3 linked regions of the Callithrix jacchus genome follow. The protein of the gene in region 2 interacts with the protein of the main gene of each other region in a pairwise test. Links are inferred from orthologs where the notes say so. Each region holds a gene or a part of one and is shown on either strand. Other genes may lie near its edges. The genes, in order: HSPB1, STUB1 and OLFM3.

What was found.
Region 1: the proteins of STUB1 (region 2) and HSPB1 interact in binary tests that used the Homo sapiens proteins (3 or more experiments, as listed by UniProt). The link is inferred for Callithrix jacchus from reciprocal best matches to the Homo sapiens genes STUB1 and HSPB1.
Region 3: the proteins of STUB1 (region 2) and OLFM3 interact in binary tests that used the Homo sapiens proteins (3 or more experiments, as listed by UniProt). The two-hybrid records come from large-scale screens. The link is inferred for Callithrix jacchus from reciprocal best matches to the Homo sapiens genes STUB1 and OLFM3.

Annotation. Positions count from the first base shown.
Region 1 is NC_133503.1:11,062,272-11,069,092, forward strand, and holds HSPB1 (heat shock protein beta-1), read left to right. Parts: upstream 1-3,320; 5' UTR 3,321-3,360; coding exon 3,361-3,724; exon of another isoform or gene 3,725-4,165; intron 4,166-4,407; coding exon 4,408-4,471; intron 4,472-4,582; coding exon 4,583-4,772; 3' UTR 4,773-4,892; downstream 4,893-6,821. UniProt on the Homo sapiens protein: Small heat shock protein which functions as a molecular chaperone probably maintaining denatured proteins in a folding-competent state. Plays a role in stress resistance and actin organization.
Region 2 is NC_133513.1:2,938,303-2,945,808, forward strand, and holds STUB1 (E3 ubiquitin-protein ligase CHIP), read left to right. Parts: upstream 1-3,284; 5' UTR 3,285-3,406; coding exon 3,407-3,565; exon of another isoform or gene 3,566-3,710; intron 3,711-4,004; coding exon 4,005-4,203; intron 4,204-4,288; coding exon 4,289-4,454; intron 4,455-4,521; exon of another isoform or gene 4,522-4,649; coding exon 4,650-4,737; exon of another isoform or gene 4,738-4,901; coding exon 4,902-4,958; exon of another isoform or gene 4,959-5,032; coding exon 5,033-5,149; exon of another isoform or gene 5,150-5,209; coding exon of another isoform or gene 5,210-5,231; coding exon 5,232-5,357; 3' UTR 5,358-5,608; downstream 5,609-7,506. Other genes in the region: RHBDL1 (rhomboid-related protein 1), read left to right, coding at 94-206, 277-377, 457-517, 603-874; JMJD8 (jmjC domain-containing protein 8), read right to left, coding at 5,659-5,739, 5,817-5,951, 6,029-6,096, 6,184-6,303, 6,393-6,642, 6,724-6,772, 6,912-7,001, 7,079-7,164. UniProt on the Homo sapiens protein: E3 ubiquitin-protein ligase which targets misfolded chaperone substrates towards proteasomal degradation.
Region 3 is NC_133508.1:144,020,611-144,027,632, reverse strand, and holds part of OLFM3 (noelin-3), read right to left. Parts: intron 1,996-7,022; coding exon 1,840-1,995; intron 1-1,839.

The sequences.
Region 1 (6,821 bases), on a different chromosome or scaffold from region 2:
GATCAGCAGAGGTGATCGGCCCACCTCGGCCTCCCAAAGTGCTGGGATTACAGGTGTGAGCCACCGCACCCAGCCAAATTTTTGTTGTTGTTGTTATATGGAAGAGGGCTTTCTATGTCGCCCAGGCTGGCCTCCAATGCGTAACCTCACCCCCTTATTTGCCAGGACAACAGGCCTGAGACACTAAGTCTCCCTTTTTTTTTTTTTTGAGACAGATCATGTCACCCAGGCTGGAATGCTGCAGTGGCCCAATCTTGGCTCACTGTAACCTCATGCCTCAGCCTCCTCAGTAGCTGGGATTACATGTGCCCACCACCACACCCGGCTAATTTTTGGTATTTTTAGTAGAGACAGGGTTTCACCATGTTGGCCAGGCTGGTCTTGAACTCCTGAACCCAGGCAATAAGCCCACCTCGGCCTCTGAAAGTGCTGGGATTACAGGTATGAGCCACTGTACCTGGCCAACCAGTGCTTCTTTTTTTTTTTTTTTTTTTTTTTTTTTTTTGGAGACAGAGTTTTGCTCTTGTTGCCCAGGCTGGAGCGCTCAGCTCACCACAAACTCCACCTCCCAGGTTCAAGCAATTCTTCTGCCTCAGCCTCCAGAGTAGCTGGGATTACAGGCATGTGCCACCATGCCCAGCTTATTTTGTATTCTAAGTAGACGGGGTTTCTCCACGTTGGTCAGGCTGGTCTCGAACTCCTGACCTCAGGTGATCCACCAGCCTCAGCTTCCCAAAGGGCTGGGATTACAAGTGTGAGCCACCTCGCCCCGCCAACCAGTGCTTCTTAAAGAAAGACAGATATAGTGGGAGACGTGACTGTAACCTTCCTCCTGACCCCTCTGCGACTTCAGAGTTCTGATCTGGGCCAGCCCCACTGTTAGGAGCTGGGGGAAAATGGCCAAACCCCAGCAATTCTCCTTCCCCTTCTCTCTTCAATCCTAGGCAGACAATAACAACTAATAATTATGATGACCTAGGCTCTGGGCTAAAGCCTTCACCTGCATTAGGTCACTGAATTCTCAGGCCAACCCAGTACAGTCATGAGTCACTTAACAACGGAGCCACATTCAGAAATGCCTTGTTTGGCAATTTCATCGTTGTGGGAACACCTCGGAGTGCACTTAGGTCCTAAGCCGTCCGGTTTAGCCTCCCCCTCCTAGGTTACAAACCTCTACAGCACATGACTGCACCACATATTAGAGGTGGCTGCAACATGATGGTAAGTAGCAGCGTTTCTAAACACAGAAGACAGCCGCGCGGTGGCTCACACCTGTCAGCCCACCACTTTGGGAGGCCAAGGCAGGTGGATTACTTGAGGTTAGGGGTTCCAGACCAGCCTGGCCAACATGGTGAAACCCTGTCTTTACTAAAAGTACAAAAATTAGGTGGTGTCGTGGCACATGTCTGTAGTCTGAGCTACTCGGGAGGCTGAGGCAGGAGAATCGCTTGAACCCAGGAGGCAGAGGTTGCAGTGAGCCGAGATTGGGCCACTGCACTCCAGCCTGGGTGACAGAGGGAGACTCCATCTCAAAAAAATTACAAATAAACATAGAAGACGTACAGTAAGAACACAGTGGTAGGGCGTAGTGGCTCATGCCTGTAATCCCAGGACTTTGGGAGGCTGAGGCAGGTGGATCACCTCAGGTCAGAAGTTCGAGACCAATTTGACCAACATGGAGAAAACCCATCTCTACTAAAAACACAAAATTAGCCAGGCATGGTGGCTCATGCCTGTAATCCCAGCTACTCAGGAGGCTGAGGCAGGAGAATCATTTGAACCCTTGAGGCAGAGGTTGCGGTGAGCTGAGATCCTGCTTATGCATTCCAGACTGGGTATGCAAAAGAGCAAAACTCCATCTCAAATTTAAAAAATATAAATCAACAAAACCACAGTAATATAATTTTTTGTTTTGTTTTTTGAAACAGGGTGGGCCAGGTGTGGTGGCTCATGCCTGTAATCCAAGCACTTTGGAGGCCAAGGCGGGCGGATCACCTGAGGTCGGGAGATCAAGACCAGCCTGATCAACATGGTGAAACCCCCTCTTAAGAAAAAAAAAAAGGAAAAGAAACAGGGTCTTGTTCTGTTATGCAGACTGGAGTGCAGTGGCACAATCAGGCTCACTGCAGCCTCCTGGGCTCAAATGATCCTCCCACCTCAGCCTTCTGAGTAGCTGGAACTACAGATGCACGCCACCATCCCCAGCTAATTTGTTTTGAATTTTAGTAGAAATGGGGTCTCACTGTGTTGCCCAGGCTGGTCACAAATTCCTTGCTTCAAGTAATCCTCCCACCTTAACCTCCCAAAGCCCACACACCTTGCAACCACACAGATTGTCAGATTCCTTTTTTTTTTTTTTTTTTTTTTGAGATGGAGTTTCGCTCTTGTTACCCAGACTGGAGTGCAATGGCACGATCTCGGCTCACTGCAACCTCCGCCTCCTGGGTTCAAGCAATTCTCCTGCCTCAGCCTCCCGAGTAGCTGGGACTACAGGCACGCACCACCATGCCCAGCTAATATTTGTATTTTTAGTAGGGACGGGGTTTCACCTTGTTGACCAGGATGGTCTCGATCTCTTGACCTCGTGATCCACCCGCCTCGGCCTCCCAAAGTGCTGGGATTATAGGCGTGAGCCACCACGCCCAGCCATCCAGCTAATTTTTAAACATTTTTTGGTAGAGGTGAGGTCTCACCATGTTGCCCAGAATGGTCTCAAACTCCCGGCCTCAAGGGATCCATCCTTCCTGCCTTGGCCTCCCAAAGTGCCGATTACAGGCATGAGCCATGCACCCAGCCCCTTTTTATTTTTTTGAGACAGGGCCTTGCTCTGTTGCCTAGGCTGGAGTGCGGCGGTGAGAACATAGCTCACTACAGCCTCGAACTCCTGGACTCAAGCACCAGACTGCTTTACATCACATTCCACACACAGCCTTGTGGTTCCAACCCTGCCTCTGCCACTTCCCAGCTGTTTGCCCCAGCCCAACCTGTCTGGCGCTGTCCTGCTTAACAAAAGGACTGGCCTGGCCGCCGGCCACACCCGCCAGCGCTGAAGCACCAGGGCCTCCGAGTGCCCTAGTGTGGCACGTCTCCAGCGTCGCACTCTCGAACTCATTTGTTTTCCTTAACGAGAGAAGGTTCCAGATTGGGGCAGAACCCTCTTCGCCCCGCCCACGGCCCCCTGAACTCTGCGGATGGGGGGGAGGGGTGCATGGGGAGAGGCGGTCCCAAACGGGTCATTTCCATTAATAGAGACCTCAAACACCGCCTGCTAAAAATACCCAACCGGAGGCACATAAAAGCGCGACCCAGCACCGCGGCCCGCACTTCTCCGAGCAGACGTCCCGGGCAGAGCCAGCCAGCATGACCGAGCGCCGCGTCCCCTTCTCGCTCCTGCGGAGCCCCAGCTGGGACCCCTTCCGCGACTGGTACCCGCACAACCGTCTCTTCGACCAGGCATTCGGGATGCCCCGGCTGCCCGAGGAGTGGTCGCAGTGGTTCGGCACCAGCAGCTGGCCGGGCTACGTGCGCCCCCTGCCCCCCGCCGCGGTCGAGGGCCCCGCAGTGGCCGCGCCCGCCTACAGCCGCGCGCTCAGCCGGCAGCTCAGCAGCGGGGTCTCGGAGATCCGGCACACGGCGGACCGCTGGCGCGTGTCCCTGGACGTCAACCACTTCGCCCCCGAGGAGCTGACGGTCAAGACCAAGGATGGCGTGGTGGAGATCACCGGTGAGCACCCCCTGGCCCTGCAGGGGAGGGGAGGAGGCTAGCGGGGAGGGCGGGGCCCGGGGGTGCGGTTGAAACCCCGGGCCTGGGGAGTTAAAAGTTAGCCCAGCACCGGGAAAAACGGGATCCGTCCGTGATTCCCCTGCTCAGGAATCGGGAGTGCAGGTCGCTTCTAAGGTCGCTTTCTGCTCTGTTATCTCAGCGCCTTGGGAGGCGGAGGCCAGGAGTTCAAGACTAGCCTGGGCAATATAGCGAGACCTCCCCCCCTACCAACTACAAGAAAATTAAAAAGCAACCAAAAATGTTTTAAAAGATCATCGGTGAAGAAATGCTTCTTTCCACGGAACTCTCTCCCCACCCGCAGCCCCATCCGCAGATAAGCGGGTCCCCTGGCGTGGTCCCTGTCCCTAGCCGCGCGAGGGGCGTGCGTGCTCCTCCCAGTGCGCCTGCGCGTTGCTCCCTCCGCCCCTCGGCACCCTGCTCCGTTCCTCCCAAAACTCTTACTCGAACTTTCCGGAAGTTTCTGAGAGCCCGGACAGGCCGGCACGCCCCCACCCCCAGTCTCCTCTGTTAATCCCTGCCAGCCTGCAGTCCTGGCTGCCTCCAAGCTGGAGGTGGGGCCTCTGGCCTGGCGGGGCCGAGAGTCGGTCCCCTTTCCCTCATTCTGATTTTCCTGTCCCCCGAAGGCAAGCACGAGGAGCGGCAGGATGAGCACGGATTCATCTCCCGCTGCTTCACCCGGAAATACTCGTGAGTCCTGCCGCCAGGTCGGGGTGGGTGGGTGCCGGGGGCTAGGGAGGAGGGCACAGGGACCCACCCGAAGTGTAATGTAACGTTCACATTCCCTCTCTGCACGTCCAGGCTGCCCCCTGGTGTGGACCCCACCCAGGTCTCCTCCTCCCTGTCCCCTGAGGGCACACTGACCGTTGAGGCCCCCATGCCCAAGCCAGCCACACAGTCCAACGAGATCACCATCCCTGTCACCTTCGAGTCGCGGGCCCAGCTTGGGGGCCCAGAAGCTGCGAAATCTGACCAGTCTGCAGCCAAGTAAAAGCCTTAGCCCGGATGCCCACCCGTGCCGCCGCCACTGGCCATGCCTCCCCCCCCACCTGTGTGTTCTTTTGATACGTTTATTTGTTTTTCTCAAATAAAGTTTGAAGCAACCCACCTGTCACTGGCTCAGACCCTGGTGTTTGTGGAAGGAAGCTTCGGGCACCTGCCATTCCCTGGCTTACACTAGCCACCTTTGCTCAGGGTGTGCTGGGTGCACAGCCCCGTGCTGGGCCATGTGGGTACTCCCGTGTAGGTTGCTAGGCACAGGCTAATTCACATCCATAAAGACAGAGAGGTCCTATTGCCCGGCATTGTGGCTCAGACCTGCAATACCAGCACTTTGGTAAGTTGAGGCAGGAGGATTGCTTGAAGCTGAGAGTTCAAGACCAGCCTGGACAACACAGTGAGACCCTATCTCTTAAAAATAAAAAGCCAGTTGCAGTGGCTCATGCCTGTAATCCCAGCACTTTGGGAGGCTGAGGGGAGCAGGTCATGAGGTCAGGAGTTCGAGACCAGCCTGACCAACATGCTGAAACCCCATCTCTACCAAAAATACAAAAATTAGCCAGGCGTAGTAGCATATGCCTGTAATGTCAGCTACTCAGGAGGCTAAGACAGGAGAATCACTTGAACCTGGGAGGCAGAGGTTGTGGTGAGCCGAGATTGTGCCACTGCACTCCAGCCTGGGTGACAGAGCAAGACTGTCTCAAAAAAAAAAAATAATAAAATAACAGAAATAAAAATTAGCCAGGGGTGTTATTGCACACCTGTAGTCCCAGCTACTCAGGAGACTGAGGCTGGAAGATTGCTTGAGCCCAGGAGTTGAAGCGTGCAGTGAGCTAAGATTGTGCCTTTGCATTCCAGCCTGGGCAACAGAGCAAGATCGTCTCAATAAATAACTAAAAACTCAGAAAGAGTGAGACCTTGTCTTTAAAAGAAAAAAAAAAAAGGTCGTGATTGCAAGGTCATGGTTGCAATTAAAACTGTAAGGTGTGGAAGCGGAGGAAATGGGAAGCACCTGAGGCTTGAGTTTTCACGGTCGGCGAGGCTGGGGCCCAGGTGAAGGGGCACGGGGGTAATTGCACCTCCCCGCAGAGATTACTGCGTCAGAAGCTTGGCTTCGGCTTCGGCGCACCCAAGGGCACCACAGTGGACCTGGTAAGCTTTGAGGTCGTCACTGCCACACCCCCTGAGGCCAGGGCATCCCTGTTGGCAGTCACAAGGGAACTGGCAGGCAGAACTGGGGTGAGAACGGAGCCCGCAGTCTCTGGGTGGGGAGATTGGGTAGCACCCTGGCCGACGCGCTCAGACCTGTGCTGCTGGCTCTGCCAGCGATTCTTGTTGCCTGTGTTTATTTTCAGTTGGCCTCCCTCCCGGTGTAGCCAGGCCTCCATGGGCCCAGTTCCTCTGTTGTCTGCCCTTGCCCTAGCTGCCACCCTCTAACCAGGCCCAGGGAAAGCTGTGGAGGTACATAGCAGATGGGGGTGCCAGGCGTAGTGGCTCATGCCTGTAATCCCAGCACTTGGGGAGGCCAAGGCAGGTGGATCACCTGAGGTCAGGAGTTCGAGAGCAGCCTGGCCAACATGCTGAAACCCTGTCTCTACTAAAAATACAAAAATTAGCCAAGCGAGGTGGTGCACGCCTGTAATCCCAGCTACTCGGGAGGCTGAGGCAGGAGAATCAATTGAACCTGGGAGGCGGAGGTTGCAGTGAGCCCAGATCGCACCATTGCCCTCCAGCCTGGGGGACAAGAGCAGAAACTCTGTCTCAAACAAACAAAAGCAGATGGGGGCTTTGGAGTTTGGTTTTGATGTCCTCAATTTTTTGAGGGACCCAGAGTCTGAGGCTGTAGCAAGACACTCCCATGTTCTTTTCTCAGCTGTGGGAAGTAGAAAAGTTCCTCTTTAAATTTCCTTCTTGTTTAAGAATAAATCATACGCGTGCTAGTAACTCTTTGTGAAGCCCTATCCTGTGTAGCTGTGAGACACGCCATGATTACAGGCACGTAGTACATTCTACATCCTTGTACTTTAACCAAGATGTCTGT
Region 2 (7,506 bases):
AGCCTCAGGGCAGGTGCAGCAACTTGACAGGGCTGGGGGTGGGGCCTGATGGCTGACCCCACCCCTTATGCCCATTTGCTCCCGTGTGGCCAGGCTGGAGCAGCTGGGGTTCAACGCCCTCCTGCAGCTGATGATCGGGGTGCCCCTGGAGATGGTGCACGGCCTGCTCCGCATCAGCCTGCTCTACCTGGCGGGTGTGCTGGCAGGTGAGGCAGGCGCGCACCCCCGCCCCCTACCCTGGCCGGCCACACCCTCACCCGCCGCTTGCTCACACAGGCTCCTTAACCGTCTCCATCACCGACATGCGGGCCCCGGTGGTGGGAGGCTCCGGCGGGGTCTACGCCCTGTGCTCGGCACACCTGGCCAACGTCGTCATGGTAACGGGCCTGCCCGGTGGGGGGCGCGGGGAGGGGCCCCTGGCAAGCCTCACGGCCTCTCCTCTGAACACCCCCCTAGAACTGGGCTGGGATGAGATGTCCTTACAAGTTGCTGAGGATGGTGCTGGCCTTGGTGTGCAGTGAGTAGGGACTGAGGGGGAGGGCCGGGGGGGGGCCTCTCAGCCTGCAGCCGGGGCACCTCCCATCTGCCGCATCCCTCTGCAGTGAGCTCCGAGGTGGGCCGGGCCGTGTGGCTGCGCTTCTCCCCGCCGCTGCCCGCCTCGGGCCCACAGCCCAGCTTCATGGCGCACCTGGCAGGCGCGGTGGTGGGGGTGAGCATGGGCCTGACCATCCTGCGCAGCTACGAGGAGCGCCTGCGGGACCAGTGTGGCTGGTGGGTGGTGCTGCTGGCCTACGGCACCTTCCTGCTCTTCGCCGTCTTCTGGAACGTCTTTGCCTATGACCTGCTTGGTGCCCACATCCCTCCACCGCCCTGACTGGCTACCTGAGGCTGCACAGGCCATGGCTTGGCACATGGTGGCTGCCCCCCTTGGGCCTTCGTGTCTGCCCTTGTGAACGGACGTCTCAGGGCTGCTGTGCCCCTTGGGTGTGGGTGGCCTCAGAGGAGACCCTGTCCCGGCCAACTCCCTACTCCCAGGACTTGCAGTCTGAGCCTTTTTGGATAATTAATAAATATTTTACACAGCACCAAGGGGCTATCCCAGGCTCTGGAAACTTGCCAGGACCTCCACAACCGCTGAACAGACCGTGAGGGCCCTGCCCACCACGAGAGCCTGGCTGTCCTCCCTGTGCACCTCTGCACCTGGGGTCACATGTGGGACTTGTTCCCCGGGCCACAGGCGAAGGTCTGTGGGAGTTACGGGCACCGGGGAGGGCTGGGGGCCAGGTGTGTGTCAGGCCAGGAGTGTGGTCAGGCGTGAGTTTGGCAGTGTTTATTGAGCTCCATGGTGGCAGCCTCCCTGGCATCCAGTGACACCCGAGGCCTGAGGTTGTGTGGCAGGTGAGTGGGCCAGGGCCGTAGCCGAGTCCACTCAGCCTGGGTCCTGCGCTTCTTCGCTGGCCTAGCATCCTCGTGGGTGGCCAAGCTGGGGCCAAGTTTGGGCAACAGGTGTGGGCACAGCCTCTGCCCCAAGGCCCCGGTCCACAGCGCTGTCTCCACTAGGTGAGGAGTCCACTGTCCTGAGGCACTGGCTAGGGAGGGGCACATGGAGTCAGGCCCAGGGCACAGGCCCCCCCCCACCCTGCCCATGCACAGATTGCTCACCTTGGCTCAGAGCTTGAACCCGGCCCAGGGACAGCAGGTTGTGCCTGAGGGTGTACTGTGGGGTCAGAAGACTGGGCACTGTGGCCACTGCCTCATCTGACAAGAAGGCTTCCAGCTGTGGAGCTCCGACCGCCAGGACTGCTCTGAGCAGCGAGGAGACAGCAGCCAGACACCCCATCAGGACAAGCTCTGGGAGACCCTGCTCCTGCTCCCAGGAACATGCAAGGGCCCAGACTGCCGGCTTCACAGACAAGGATGCCTGTGCACCCAGGTCGTGCACACCCGACTCACCTGTGGTGGGCCCACACCGCGGAGGGCACACAACTTTATGACTGCGGCCCCCGACTCTGGCAGGAGTCAGAAGGCGGAGGTCAAGCGGTGCACAACCAGCTCAGGGGATTGGTGGCCACAGGCTGCTGAAGACATGGCCAAAAGCGGCCTCTCTGTGGGAGGCCAGGTCAGGATGCCTGGAGTGGTGGACCCTCCAGGAACCCCGCCCCACGACAAAGCCCCGCCCCCACGAAGACACGCCCCTAGGAGGCCCCGCCCACGAGGAAGCACCGCCCCACCGACGCCACTCCCTGAAGACCCGCCCTACGGAGGCCCCGCACACGAGGAGGCGGGGCCGCACCCCACCGGCAGCCTCTAGACTAACAGCCGTTCCAGCTCCCTTCGCGTCACGTGCTTCTCCGCTCGGCCCTTGATGGCCGCCAGCAACTCCTCCCGTTACCTGGAAAAGGGGGTGAGGGGAGGTCCGGCCACGGGGACACTCGCCCCACGGATCCCTTTATCTCTTACCAGTCTACCAACGGTCCACGGCTTCCAGCCGCTCTCGGGGGCCCGCGCGCGCTCGTAGCACCTTTCGGTGGCATTCCAGGATGGCAGCCCAGCAAGCCGCTGGGGTCCCCACAGCCCCAGAGCGCGTGGGAGGCCGCCATGTTACGTGGAGGGGAGGGGTCGGCTCTCAGGGGCGGAGCCTCTGCGGAAGGGGCCGGCTGCTGGGGGCGGGACCTCTGCAAACGGAGTCGACCCCCCCCCGAGGGCGGGGCCGGCTGCCAGGGGCGGAACCTCTGCAGACGGGGCTGACTGATGGGGGCGTGGCCGGGTGCTGGGGGCGGGGCCTCCGCCGATGGGGGTGGCTGCGGGGGCGGGGCCTCTGCCGATGGGCCAGGTGCTGGGAGTGGGGGCGGGTGCCGGGGGCGGGACCGCCGCAGATGCGGCCTGTTGTTGGGGGCGGGGCGGGCTGCTGGGGGCGGGACCTCTGCAGATGGGGTCTTTACGGGTTGGGGCAGGGGCGGAATCCCACGTGGGCGGGACAGGCTTTTAGGGAAGCACGCCCTCAGCGAACCAAGGCTGAGGCACCTCACGGAGAAAACCGGATATATGGGACGGCCGCCACCGAGGCCAGTTCTGGAGAGGCCTCGGCGGGGCGGGGCGGGGCTGGCCTCCGCGAATGCCGACCCTGAAAAACGCGGGGCCAGGGAACCGGAGCGTTCCTCGCAGCCAGCTACGTCGCGGGCCGACTGTCCCCGCCCAGGCTGGTTGGGCGCACGCGCGGCCCTACCCGCCCCCCGACGCCTGCGTCCCCGCCGATCCCGCCCCCGGCCGGAAGTTCCGGCGGCGGAGCTGGGCCGGGCCCGAGCTGATCGTGGGCTCGGGCTGCAGGGCTCGGGCTCGGGCTTCGGGTGCAGGGCCGTCAGGCGCGGAGCTTGGGAGCGCAGCCCAGGCCGTGCCGCTCGGCGCCATGAAGGGCAAGGAGGAGAAGGAGGGCGGCGCGCGGCTGGGCGCTGGCGGCGGAAGCCCGGAGAAGAGCCCGAGCGCGCAGGAGCTCAAGGAACAGGGCAACCGTCTGTTTGTGGGCCGAAAGTACCCGGAGGCGGCGGCCTGCTACGGCCGCGCGATCGTGAGTGCGCCCGCGTGGGGAAGGCGGCGACGGCGAGTCGGAGGGCCACGCCCGCGATCGGCCGGCCCCGCCGAGGGTCTGGCTCCTCCGCGGCGGGTATCCTGGGCTCCGAAAGCCCAGCATTGGTTCTCGATCCCAGCGCCAGGTGCCGGGGAACGAGGGTGGGATGCTAGATGGAGGCCGGCCGGGTGGGTGGGAGGCCAGGGTCCAAAGCTGGGACTCTCCAAAGATTTGGAAAACTCTACAGAACCAACCGGAGTGAGGTGTGTAGGCTCAGCCAGTAGTCCCGTGTCTGCAGATCCTTGGACCCAGAGGCTTTGGCTACTGAGAGGTCTAGGTTCTTGATCGTAGCCAGATCGCAGAAGCTGGGACGGGCCCTGGGACAGAGGGGGCGCGCTGAGCCTACGCCTGATGCGGCTGGCCCGGCCTTGGTCCCTAGACCCGGAACCCGCTGGTGGCCGTGTATTATACCAACCGGGCCCTGTGCTACCTGAAGATGCAGCAGCATGAGCAGGCCCTGGCCGACTGCCGGCGCGCCCTGGAGCTGGACGGGCAGTCTGTGAAGGCGCACTTCTTCTTGGGGCAGTGCCAGCTGGAGATGGAGAGCTATGATGAGGCCATCGCCAATTTGCAGCGAGGTTGGCCGACAAGCTGCCTGGGTGCGGGGCCCCTGGGACCAGGCGGTTGGACTGGCCAGCGTGACCGGAAGCCCTTGTTCCCCAGCCTACAGCCTGGCCAAGGAGCAGCGACTGAACTTTGGGGACGACATCCCCAGCGCTCTGCGAATCGCGAAGAAGAAGCGCTGGAACAGCATCGAGGAGCGGCGCATCCACCAGGAGAGTGAGCTGCACTCCTACCTTTCGAGGCTCATTGCGGCGGAGCGTGAGAGGTGGGACCCTTACCCCAGGCCGCGCTGTCTGGGGATAATTCTGAATAACCAACCGCCAACACGAATGTTTACTGAAAGTTTTACTGGCGAGCAGTGCATGTGGGGAAGAAGCCTGGATGTTAGCCCTGAGTCTGGGGTGTGGTCAGACATCTTCTGGCCAGGTCCGTCTCTGACGGGCTCCTGGTCATCCCCCAGGGAGCTGAAAGAGTGCCAGCAGAACCACGAGGGTGACGAGGACGACAGTCACGTCCGGGCCCAGCAGGCCTGCATTGAGGCCAAGCACGTGAGGGTGCCCCCATCCACATGTGGGTCTGTGTGTGTGCACACGTGGCACGGGAGCGTCCCCACCCTGCTGTGGGTCTGTGTGTCCCTGCCTCGTGTTGGGTCTGGGTACCACGGAGGAGGGAAGTGGGGTGTCCCTCCCAAGCACTGCTCAACTTTCCACAGGACAGATACATGGCGGACATGGATGAGCTCTTCTCTCAGGTGGATGAGAAGAGGAAGGTGAGTGCTGCTGTGGGTGGTAGGTCCTGGAGCAGCCCCTTCCCAGCCTCTGACCCTGTGCCCATGTGCCACAGAAGCGCGACATCCCTGACTACCTGTGTGGCAAGATCAGCTTTGAGCTGATGCGGGAGCCGTGCATCACACCCAGTGGCATCACTTACGACCGCAAGGACATCGAGGAGCACCTGCAGGTGAGGCTGGGGCCAGGGGGTGGGCAGGGCCAGCAGCAGGGTCCTAGGCTTGCTGAGCAGCCTCTGCCTCTTGTCACTGCAGCGTGTAGGCCATTTTGACCCTGTGACCCGGAGCCCCCTGACGCAGGAACAGCTCATTCCCAACCTGGCTATGAAGGAGGTCATTGATGCATTCATCTCTGAGAACGGCTGGGTGGAGGACTACTGAGCTCCTCGCCCTGCCCAGTGTCCTGGCCCCGGAGGGCCACGGGCAGAAGCCCCCAGCCCCTGTACATAGCTTGTGTCCCTGGCCACCCTTTCCCTTCCCCCCAGTTCTGCTGTTGGGCTCTGGACGGCTCCCCTCTCAGCATAGCTCTTGCTGGGCTGTGATCCTCCCCGTCCCCCATTCTGGGCTGGAAAAGCAGGTGAGGGTGGGCTGGGCTGCGGCCACCGTCTGTGTAATAAAATCCGTGAGCACAAGCTGGGGAAGAAGTGCTCTGTGTGACAGGAGTGCCTGCCGGCTGCCACGGCTAGCCAAGGAAGGTAGAGATGAAGACGCTGGTGTCAAGGTTGAGTGTGGCGTGCCACCAGCGGTCGGGGAAGTACAGCACCTGGTGAAGGAAGGGGGTGCAGCCGAGATCAGCTGCGGGCCTCTGACCTGGCCCGGTCCCTCCTGCCAGCCACTGACCTCACCAGCCTGGATGGTACACTCCAGGGGCCGTGCAGACGGCGGCAGGGCTGGGTATGTGTCCCGGAGCCAGGCCAGCGTGGTCTTGTTGGGGTGGAACTCTGGCGTCTTCTCAGGTGGGTAGAGGAACCAGCGCTGTGGGCAGGGGCAGCAGCGTCACCCTTGCCCACTTGGGTCATCCACCCAAGCCCCGACACCCACCCTGGGCTGACCTTACGGCCGTAGATCACCTCCGAGTACCCAGGCCCGTGCCAGTGGAAGGGCACCCCCGAGCCGGCTCCTGTGGGGTTACGAGCACCTAGTGACCCACCTGTTTAGTACCCACTCTCAGAAGCCTCACTCCTCCCCAGTCCCAAGGAGCACCCACCTGCGATTCCAAAGCTGTAAGCTGGAGCGGTACCCGGCAGACCAAATGGGGGTGGGGAGTAGTGCCGAAAAAGTGAGGACCATTCAGTGAAGTTGTTGTCCCCGAAAAAGTACAGGGTGTCTGCAACAGAGACGGTGGGGCAGGGATCCCGGCACTGGGAGGCTCCAAGCGTGTCGCCGCCCCAACACCGCCATACATGGCTGACTCACCATTGCCCAGGGAGGTGGGGTCCTGGGGGTGCAGCAGCTGCTCCACATACTCCTGGAAGGGCAAGTCCACTGCAGGGAAGGGACGGGTCAAGACCGGCTGCTGCAGCCGTCGCGGCGTTGGCAAGCAGGCGGGCCCGGGGTGGGGCGGCTCACCCTTCCGGTAGGAGTAGGTGTTGGCGGTGCTCAGCCGAACCACTCTGTCTCCGAACGACGCCAGCAACCTGTCGCGGGAGCACAGGGCCCGGAACCTCTGCGGGGGGGCGGGCGGGGGCGGGGCTTAGAGGCCGGGCCCAGCACGCGCGAGGGTGTCCGGGGACGGGCGCGCGCTCACCGAGTTGTCCGTGAGTCCCTGCAGGATAACGGGCCTGACGAACGCGTACCTGGAAGGAAGGGCAGAGTCGCGCCCAGGCTCGACCGCCACCCTCGCCGCCCCCGCCCCACACTCGCGGGAGCTCGGGGAAGGCGCCTTAGGCGGGCGGGTGACCAGGGCGCGATCTCCGCGGTCAGGGGCGCACGTACTGCTGCACGAACTCGGCGTAGGTAAGGTCGGCGCGGCGCTCCACCGTGCAGCGCTGCTCCTCGGCCGCGGCCCCCGGCCCGCCCCGGCGCCTGCGGGCACAGCCCGGTCAGCCCGCGCCCTACCCGCCGCACGAGACCCCCCGCCCGGCCCCTCCCGGGCCGCTCACCACCCGCCGTCGCCCTCCTCCCCCGAGCTGGGTAGAACCAGAGCCGCCAGCGCCCAGAGCGCGAGCAACCACGACCCCGGCGCCATGAGCCCGCCGCCCTCAGGCAGCCGCGCTGCACGCCGGGAACCTCAGGCCCGTCCGCCAGCCATTGGCCGCAACCTCGTCGTCATGGCAACCGCCGGGTGCCCGGATGGTTCCGGAAGTGATCTCCTTTGCCCCGCCCCGGAAGAGGCCTATTGGCATCGCTGGTTACCATGGCGACAGCCCCGGAGAGAGCCCCCGCCCAGCAGCTGCACGGCGAGCACACTGCAAGCCCCCGCGCGGACAGCGATTCCACTTCCTTTATTGGGGTTTCAAGTTCCAGCCTCTGCCCGTCTGGGGCCCAAGACCAGGCGGGGTTTTGCACGTGGCCGGCCGGGCGGTCAGGT
Region 3 (7,022 bases), on a different chromosome or scaffold from region 2:
TTAGTAGTCTGGCTAATTTGCTGCTAGGAAATTTATAGACTAGGCACATTATTTCTTTGGGTTTATCTCAGCTTTTATCTTTTTTTGTTTCTTTGTTTTCTGTCTTCTCTCAAAAGTTCCCAAAGATGAACATACTTCATTACACATTCCTCAGCCCTGTCAACCCTGACACTCTCAAGCTGTCCTTGGGCTTTACAGAATTCTCACTGCATTGTCCATCTCCACCAAGCAATCTCAGATCCTCTCCTCCTGGTTAGTTCCTTCTAGGAATGCTCTTCCCACAACTAAATGCCAGCTTACTATTTTCTACTTTGCCGATGACCTCAACATTAGATTCACATTGTTACTTTACCGTCTACACTCTAACTCTGAGCATTGAAAATTGACACAGAAAATCTTTTGGTTTTCTTGACCCCCTATAACTTAGTAGTGGAGGGGTAGGGTCACTAGTCCCAAACTGCTTTCCTGTAATTCTTCTCCTGTTTAAAACAAAATTAATTGCTCTTCCCTTTGTGCTCTTAAGTAATGCTTATGCCTCTACTCACTATCAATTCACCTGTGTGTGAGTTGTCTTTCATAGAAGAGAGATTACGTTAATACATCCAGCAGAGGGGCCAGCCGTACTTTGTGTGTGGTATGGGCTCAATAAATACTGCCTAAAATTAATTCTTTTGCTCTTCAACCTCATATACTTCTGTCTTTACCATTTATCCATAAGTTTCCTATTTATCCATTTCACTCATACTTTCATTTTCAATAATCTTTAAACTTATTATTGTATCTTCCAAGTCTTGCTCTAATTTGTCCTAATATCTTAACCTGCTGGCTTTGTTTACTTCTCTATTCAATTTAAACCTCATGATTAATCACTTCCATTCCCTCTCGTTTCAATACCCTCAACTTCCTCTCCCTCTTTTACTTCTGTTATGACCTTCTTGGTAAAGCTTTAAATCCAGTTCAGGGTATAATTCTCTTCCATACCTCTCTACTCAGTCTCTTGAGTACCACTGAAGAAAATTACAAAACCATGAAACTTTCTGCCACATTAAAATGTGTTATGCAGAGACTCTGTTACATGTTCCTCGCTAGCTCCCCACTTGCCACCATTAGGTGCAGGAAGTGCTCCTTTCCTTGCCCAAGGGCTTGAATTCAGATCCACTCCCTCAACATCAGCAGTGAATCTCACTTCCTAATTGGCAAGAAAAACAGAGGCTGTTAAGTGGGCAACCGTAGTGTGTTTTATGAATTATGGGCTGTGCCTTGGAAAGGCAGATGATTTACTTTTAACAGAAGCTCAAACTACATTATCAGACCAAGAATTTTTCCTTAAAATTCATATCTCTTTTATACATAGTTAACAAATGTCCACATAGCATAATTTATTTCTCCATCTTCAGTATTTGTAAATAATTGCCAATAAAACACTTAAAATCTAGAAAAAAGACTTGACTTGTATAAAGTATAAAATAACTCTCTCTATATGCTCATATTTATGGCATAGTTATTTCTTTCGAAAATTTATGTCATCTACATCTTTCTTCATATTAGCAGGGCATGAAACCATTTGAGAAATATTTATAATTTAATTATTACTTTTCCTTGGGGTTTCCCTCTCCACCAAACTCTACAAGGATGAGGCTTTTTTCATAGCAAGCCTTCTGTGTCTTCCTGTCAGCTGCTAATGGTCAGTTTCAGTGGAGAGATGACTGAAATTCTCCACGAGTCTTTTCCCTTGCATATATGGGCCAATGAACGGTCATTTCTAGCTGAGTGCTCCACTGCTGTCCATCCTACTTAGGGTCTGATTTGGATTGACAAGATTGCAGAAGTCAAACCTACCTGAAAATGCTTGGTCATAAGTGTCTTTCGATCATCTTCAATCTGCCGAAACTTTGCCTTCAGCCCTTTCATTTGGGTTTCCATTTTTAAAACATATTGAAAATCTCTCTGAGTTCTCAAGTTTAAGACCTCAATAGACTGGGACATGTTCTGAACCTGTTAAACAAGAATATTGTCTGTAATTACTGTCTGTTTGCAGGTTTGTGCAATTACTAAGAAACAGCAAAAATGCCATTGATATAAAAACTAGAAGTGCCAAATTCATAATTGCATTCCCATATGACATACTTTCAGAAGAACAATTCTTCATGATAAACATTTAAAGAATTCAGCAAGAGAAAATTATACCTAGACAGGAAATTTAAAAATGGGCATTCCAGCATTAGAACTGACTGAGTATAATTGAGTTTAATACATTAGAAAAATAAGCTTTAAAAACAAGTTTTTCATTTTAAGGGTTTGTTAGCTTAAAATGCCCCAACATGTTAAATGCCAAAATAAGTTGTTTCAGTAAGTACGAATTCTGACTTCCTAAATATCTAGGATGTTTAGCAATTACGGATGGTAGTGAAGTGTCCAAAGGACTAGAATGCATTCATTCTAGTACAATAAGTTCTTAATGTGTCTAAAGTAGTCGCAGGGGAGAGATGGAATTGACCAAGACAGGTTATAGCAGTGCTGGAACACTGCATAAATTCAGCAGCATAGTGTTTAAGGGACCCAGAAAGTGGTAACTGTATCAAGTGCTTTGTAGACAGGTGTTAAACACATTTTAAGCCAATAGCACCATTCCAGGTTCACTGAACCCTGGGCTATTTAGAAGTAAAAAAGAGGTAGCCTGTAAAAGATGCAGAAATGACAGGAAAAAAACGACCGGTCTAATTGTTGTGGCAGCAAAAACCTGAAAACAAAGTGAAAGCCACTAATAATGGAAGCTGTTAAATAATTAGAGAAACTGAATATGAATGATCCATTATAAAGAATAAGTTAATCTCTGTACGGTTAGTAGTCAAAGCAACAACTCTGGTATCACCTAGGAGTTTGTCAGAAATGCAAAATCTCAGAAATGTTCATCCAGAATTACTGAATCAAAATCTGCATTTTATCAAGATTCCCAAGTGATTCCTATGCCTATCAAGGTTTGAGAAGTACTGCTCAACATGGAAAGATTTCAACGAGAAAAGCAAATGTAAAACCTTTACATAATTTGATCTTTTTTTGTCTCACTCTGTCACCCAGGCTGGAGTGCTGTGGCGCGATCTTGGCTCACCGCAACCTCTGGCCCCTGGGTTCAAGCAGTTATCCCGTCTCAGCCTCCTGAGTAGTTGGGACTACAGTCGCTTGCCTCCACGCCCGGCTAATGGTTGTAATTTTTAGTAGAGACGTGCTTTCACCATATTGGTCAGGCTGGTCTCAAACTCCTGACCTCAGGTGATCCATCCATCTTGGCCTCCCAAAGTGCTGGGTTTACAGGCATGAGCCACTGAGCCCAGCCAATCTGTTTATTCTAAATCAAATACACATACATTCACATACATATAATCAGTAAAAAGTTATTTTCATTGAAAAAATGTGAATTACAAAGGGATGACTTGTTCAGGCACAAATTTCTGTAATCAGATAAAGTCACAATGCTTAGTGGATCAGACGCTGTAAAGGTCCCGTAGTTGATACAGTTCTTAGAACTGTAATATTGGTAAAAGGCAATGAATACTGCCTTGGTCTGCCTCAGTTCTTTGCCTTTTTTCACCCTTTTCTGTTCCCTATGTTGTCTTGATCCATCATCTTGCCCTGTTTGAATGCTGTCCTTTTAGGACATATTACAGTCCAGCTTATCTTAAACCTAATTGTGTTATGTGGGTGTTGGGGGTGGGGCAGGGAAGTGGCTCTCCCTCTGTGAGCTCCATGAGGTTACAAGCTGTGTCTTACTCATATCTTCCATTTCCAAGACTTTACACAGAACTAGGCACAGAACAAGTGTTTGATAAATATTTATTGAGTAAACTTATCTTGAGTTTGTAGTAGTAATAATAAGTAATTAGAATTTTAAGAAGAGTCTTCCCCCTCCTGTTTCTGGTTAGGCAACAGCATTTCAGGACTATAAATATTTCTTAATTTACTAAAAGTTTTATATTCAGAAATCTTTGTTTTTAATTTTTTAAATATTTAGTGCAACACAAAATTACCAAGACAACATTGAAAACATGATAACGCCATTGTGGATAAATGCAATGCTTTCAACATAATTTTCTAACTTCATTTGTGGTTGAGCATGAATACAGAAAAGCTATTTGCATTTAAAAAAACTGTCTACCTATTTAAATACAGCATTTGTCTGTGAAGACATCTACCATTAGTATAACTGATGTCCTGCTAATGATTCTATGTACTTGGACCAAGTCCATATAATTAGAAAATGATGGGCAAAATAAGGTACTCTGGATAAAGTTAAAATAGGCTGTCTTCGGTCAGGTGCTGTGGCTCAAGCCTGTAATCCCAGCACTTTGGGAGGCCGAGGCAGGTGGATCACGAGGTCGGCAGATCGAGACCATCCTGGTCAACATGGTGAAACCCCGTCTCTACTAAAAATTACAAAAAATTAGCTGGGCACGGTGGCGTGTGCCTGTAATCCCAGCTACTCAGGAGCCTGAGGCAGGAGAATTGCCTGAACCCAGGAGGCGGAGGTTGCGGTGAGCCGAGATCGCGCCATTGCACTCCAGCCTGGGTAACAAGAGCGAAACTCCGTCTCAAAAAAAAAAAAATAGGCTGTCTTTATTTTTGCCTCTGACTCGCCCTATAAAGTGAATTTTCAACTTCATTTGTGTTATGGGAAATTGCACTGAGAGAATTTTTGCTGAGACTTGATTGTGACCTATATTGCAGAATCATGTGTAATTAGAAGAGGTACATTTGTGGTAATGGCTAGAGATAGAGTTGTCTAATAGGGCAGCATTTGGCTCCAGGTTGTCTTAAGCATCTCCTGCTGGCTGTACCTAGGATTGTTTAGTTTCCCGATGGCTATGGAGGCCCATGGAGCATCAGTTTCCTGATGATACAGCAGACTGGATACACATGATGACTTGTGTAGGGAAGGAGATCTGTCTGCTGTGTTCCCTCTTTTTGTCGGCTTGTCTCTGCAGTTCTGTGATTCACCTTTTCATAGGTGTTTCTGTGCTTAGGCTCTCTCTGCATAGTTTGACAAGCTCATTGTCCCCTTTCTTAAATAATTCTTTTGGAATCTTTATTTATTCTTGTTCTTCATATAAATAAAATATCTGGGGCTTTTTTGAACTTAAACACAAATTAACTTAGATTTTCACTCTCATAATTAGTAAGGCGAGACTTGAAAAACAAAAGTTCTATTGATTAAATATGTTTGAATAACTTGAGTTTAACACATATAAACAGATTTCCTGACTGTGGGACTTAACAAAACCTCTAGTAGTAAACTGTATATTAGAAATCTTCAAGAGTGAAGTATCATGTACAGTGTTTCTTAAACTGATTTTATTGGTGAGGATGTTGGCAGTATCGTATTCAAAAAATCATACTTTAGGAAATACCGACTTAGATAATACAACACATCTTTAACTGTACAGGGAAGTTATATAGTTAATAAACGTATACTTTTTTAGGTGAGCAATTTTAGTTTTGGCATACTAAGACCTGAAATACTGTGAAACCGATTATATTTTTTCTAATATTCAATAATATAAATACTTGTTAGAAATGTTTAACAGAACGTCACTTAAATAAGTGTGGACATACCTGTGGCATTTTGTGTGACACTGGTATAGCATTGAGAAGCTGCAGATGGATGTTACAGCCCACAGCTTACTGATTGAGTGACTAGACAACCAGTTTTCTTTTATGTAAATTTAGATAACTACCCCATTTATAAGGATTGAAAGAAGTGGATACAAAATATAAAATATACTACTCATGGGAATTGTTGTTGTAAATATCGCTTTTGTTAACAATATTCCCTTATATACAACTAAATTGATCTTTCTGGTTAAAAGTGAAGGAGGCACTTAGAGGTCATGATGCTCTTGTTTTCCCTTTGGTGTCTTGGATACATGTGAAACTCTAGAGAGGGCAGCCAGGGACTGATCAGTCTAAAATACCATGGTGTCTCAGATGTCTTTTCTCCTCTGGATCGGTGCAGCAAATCAGGGCTACCTAACCTCCTCCAGGCCACTGTAAAAGAGTGCACACAATTTAGGATTCCTCCGCTGCTCTAAAACTACCAGATGGTACATTTAATACATCTACCTTGTAGTAACTTCAATTTTGTTAATACATTTTATTTGTGTTTTTTTTTGTCATTTATGTATTAATAAATTTTTAAAGGCATGATGTTCTAGAATTTCTTTAAAACATTCAGACAAATTACGCATTGGATGGATGGAGTGGTCATATTAATTTCTATATTGTTTTCATCCAACCAATGAAATACTTTCATACATTTTTAATTTATTCATCTTTTACTAATTCCCAGCTTTATCATAGCCCTGAAAGACACTTCACTTTGAACCTGTAAATGGAATTATCCACTTCTGACATTTATACTTTATTTGAATTTTTTCAACTGGTATTTGAAGACATGTTTGAACCTATGTGTAGGTGTATGTAATGTTGTACTGAAAAACAGCAACACAGAAGATAAAGTATGGTGTCTAAGAAAATGTTTCACCTTAATTCATGTAGAAAAACAGATATTTCTGGGTAGAAAAGAAGATTGGTGAAGAATGTTGATTACCTGAATGGAAATACAATATAACAGAAAAGCAAAATTGGATGTAAAATATTAAATCTTTTTTCTAATGTAAATAATTTCCCTGGTAAACAAACACAATTAACCTATATGTTTGAGTTTTTATATAAATAAAAAAATCAACATTGGAAAATAAAATCCAAGAATAATAATAATTCTCATTCTGTCACCTAGGCTGGAGTGCAGTGGAGCATTCTTGGCTCACTGCAACCTCCACCTCCCGGGTTCAAGCGATTCTCTTGCCTCAGCCTCCTGAGTAGCTGGGATTACAGGTGCTCACCACAACACCCAGTTAACTTTTGCATTTTTAATAGAGATGGAGTTTTGCCATGTTGGCCAGGCTGTTTGCAAACTCCTGACCTCAGGTGATCCACCTGCCTTGGCCTCCCAAAGTGCTGGGATTACC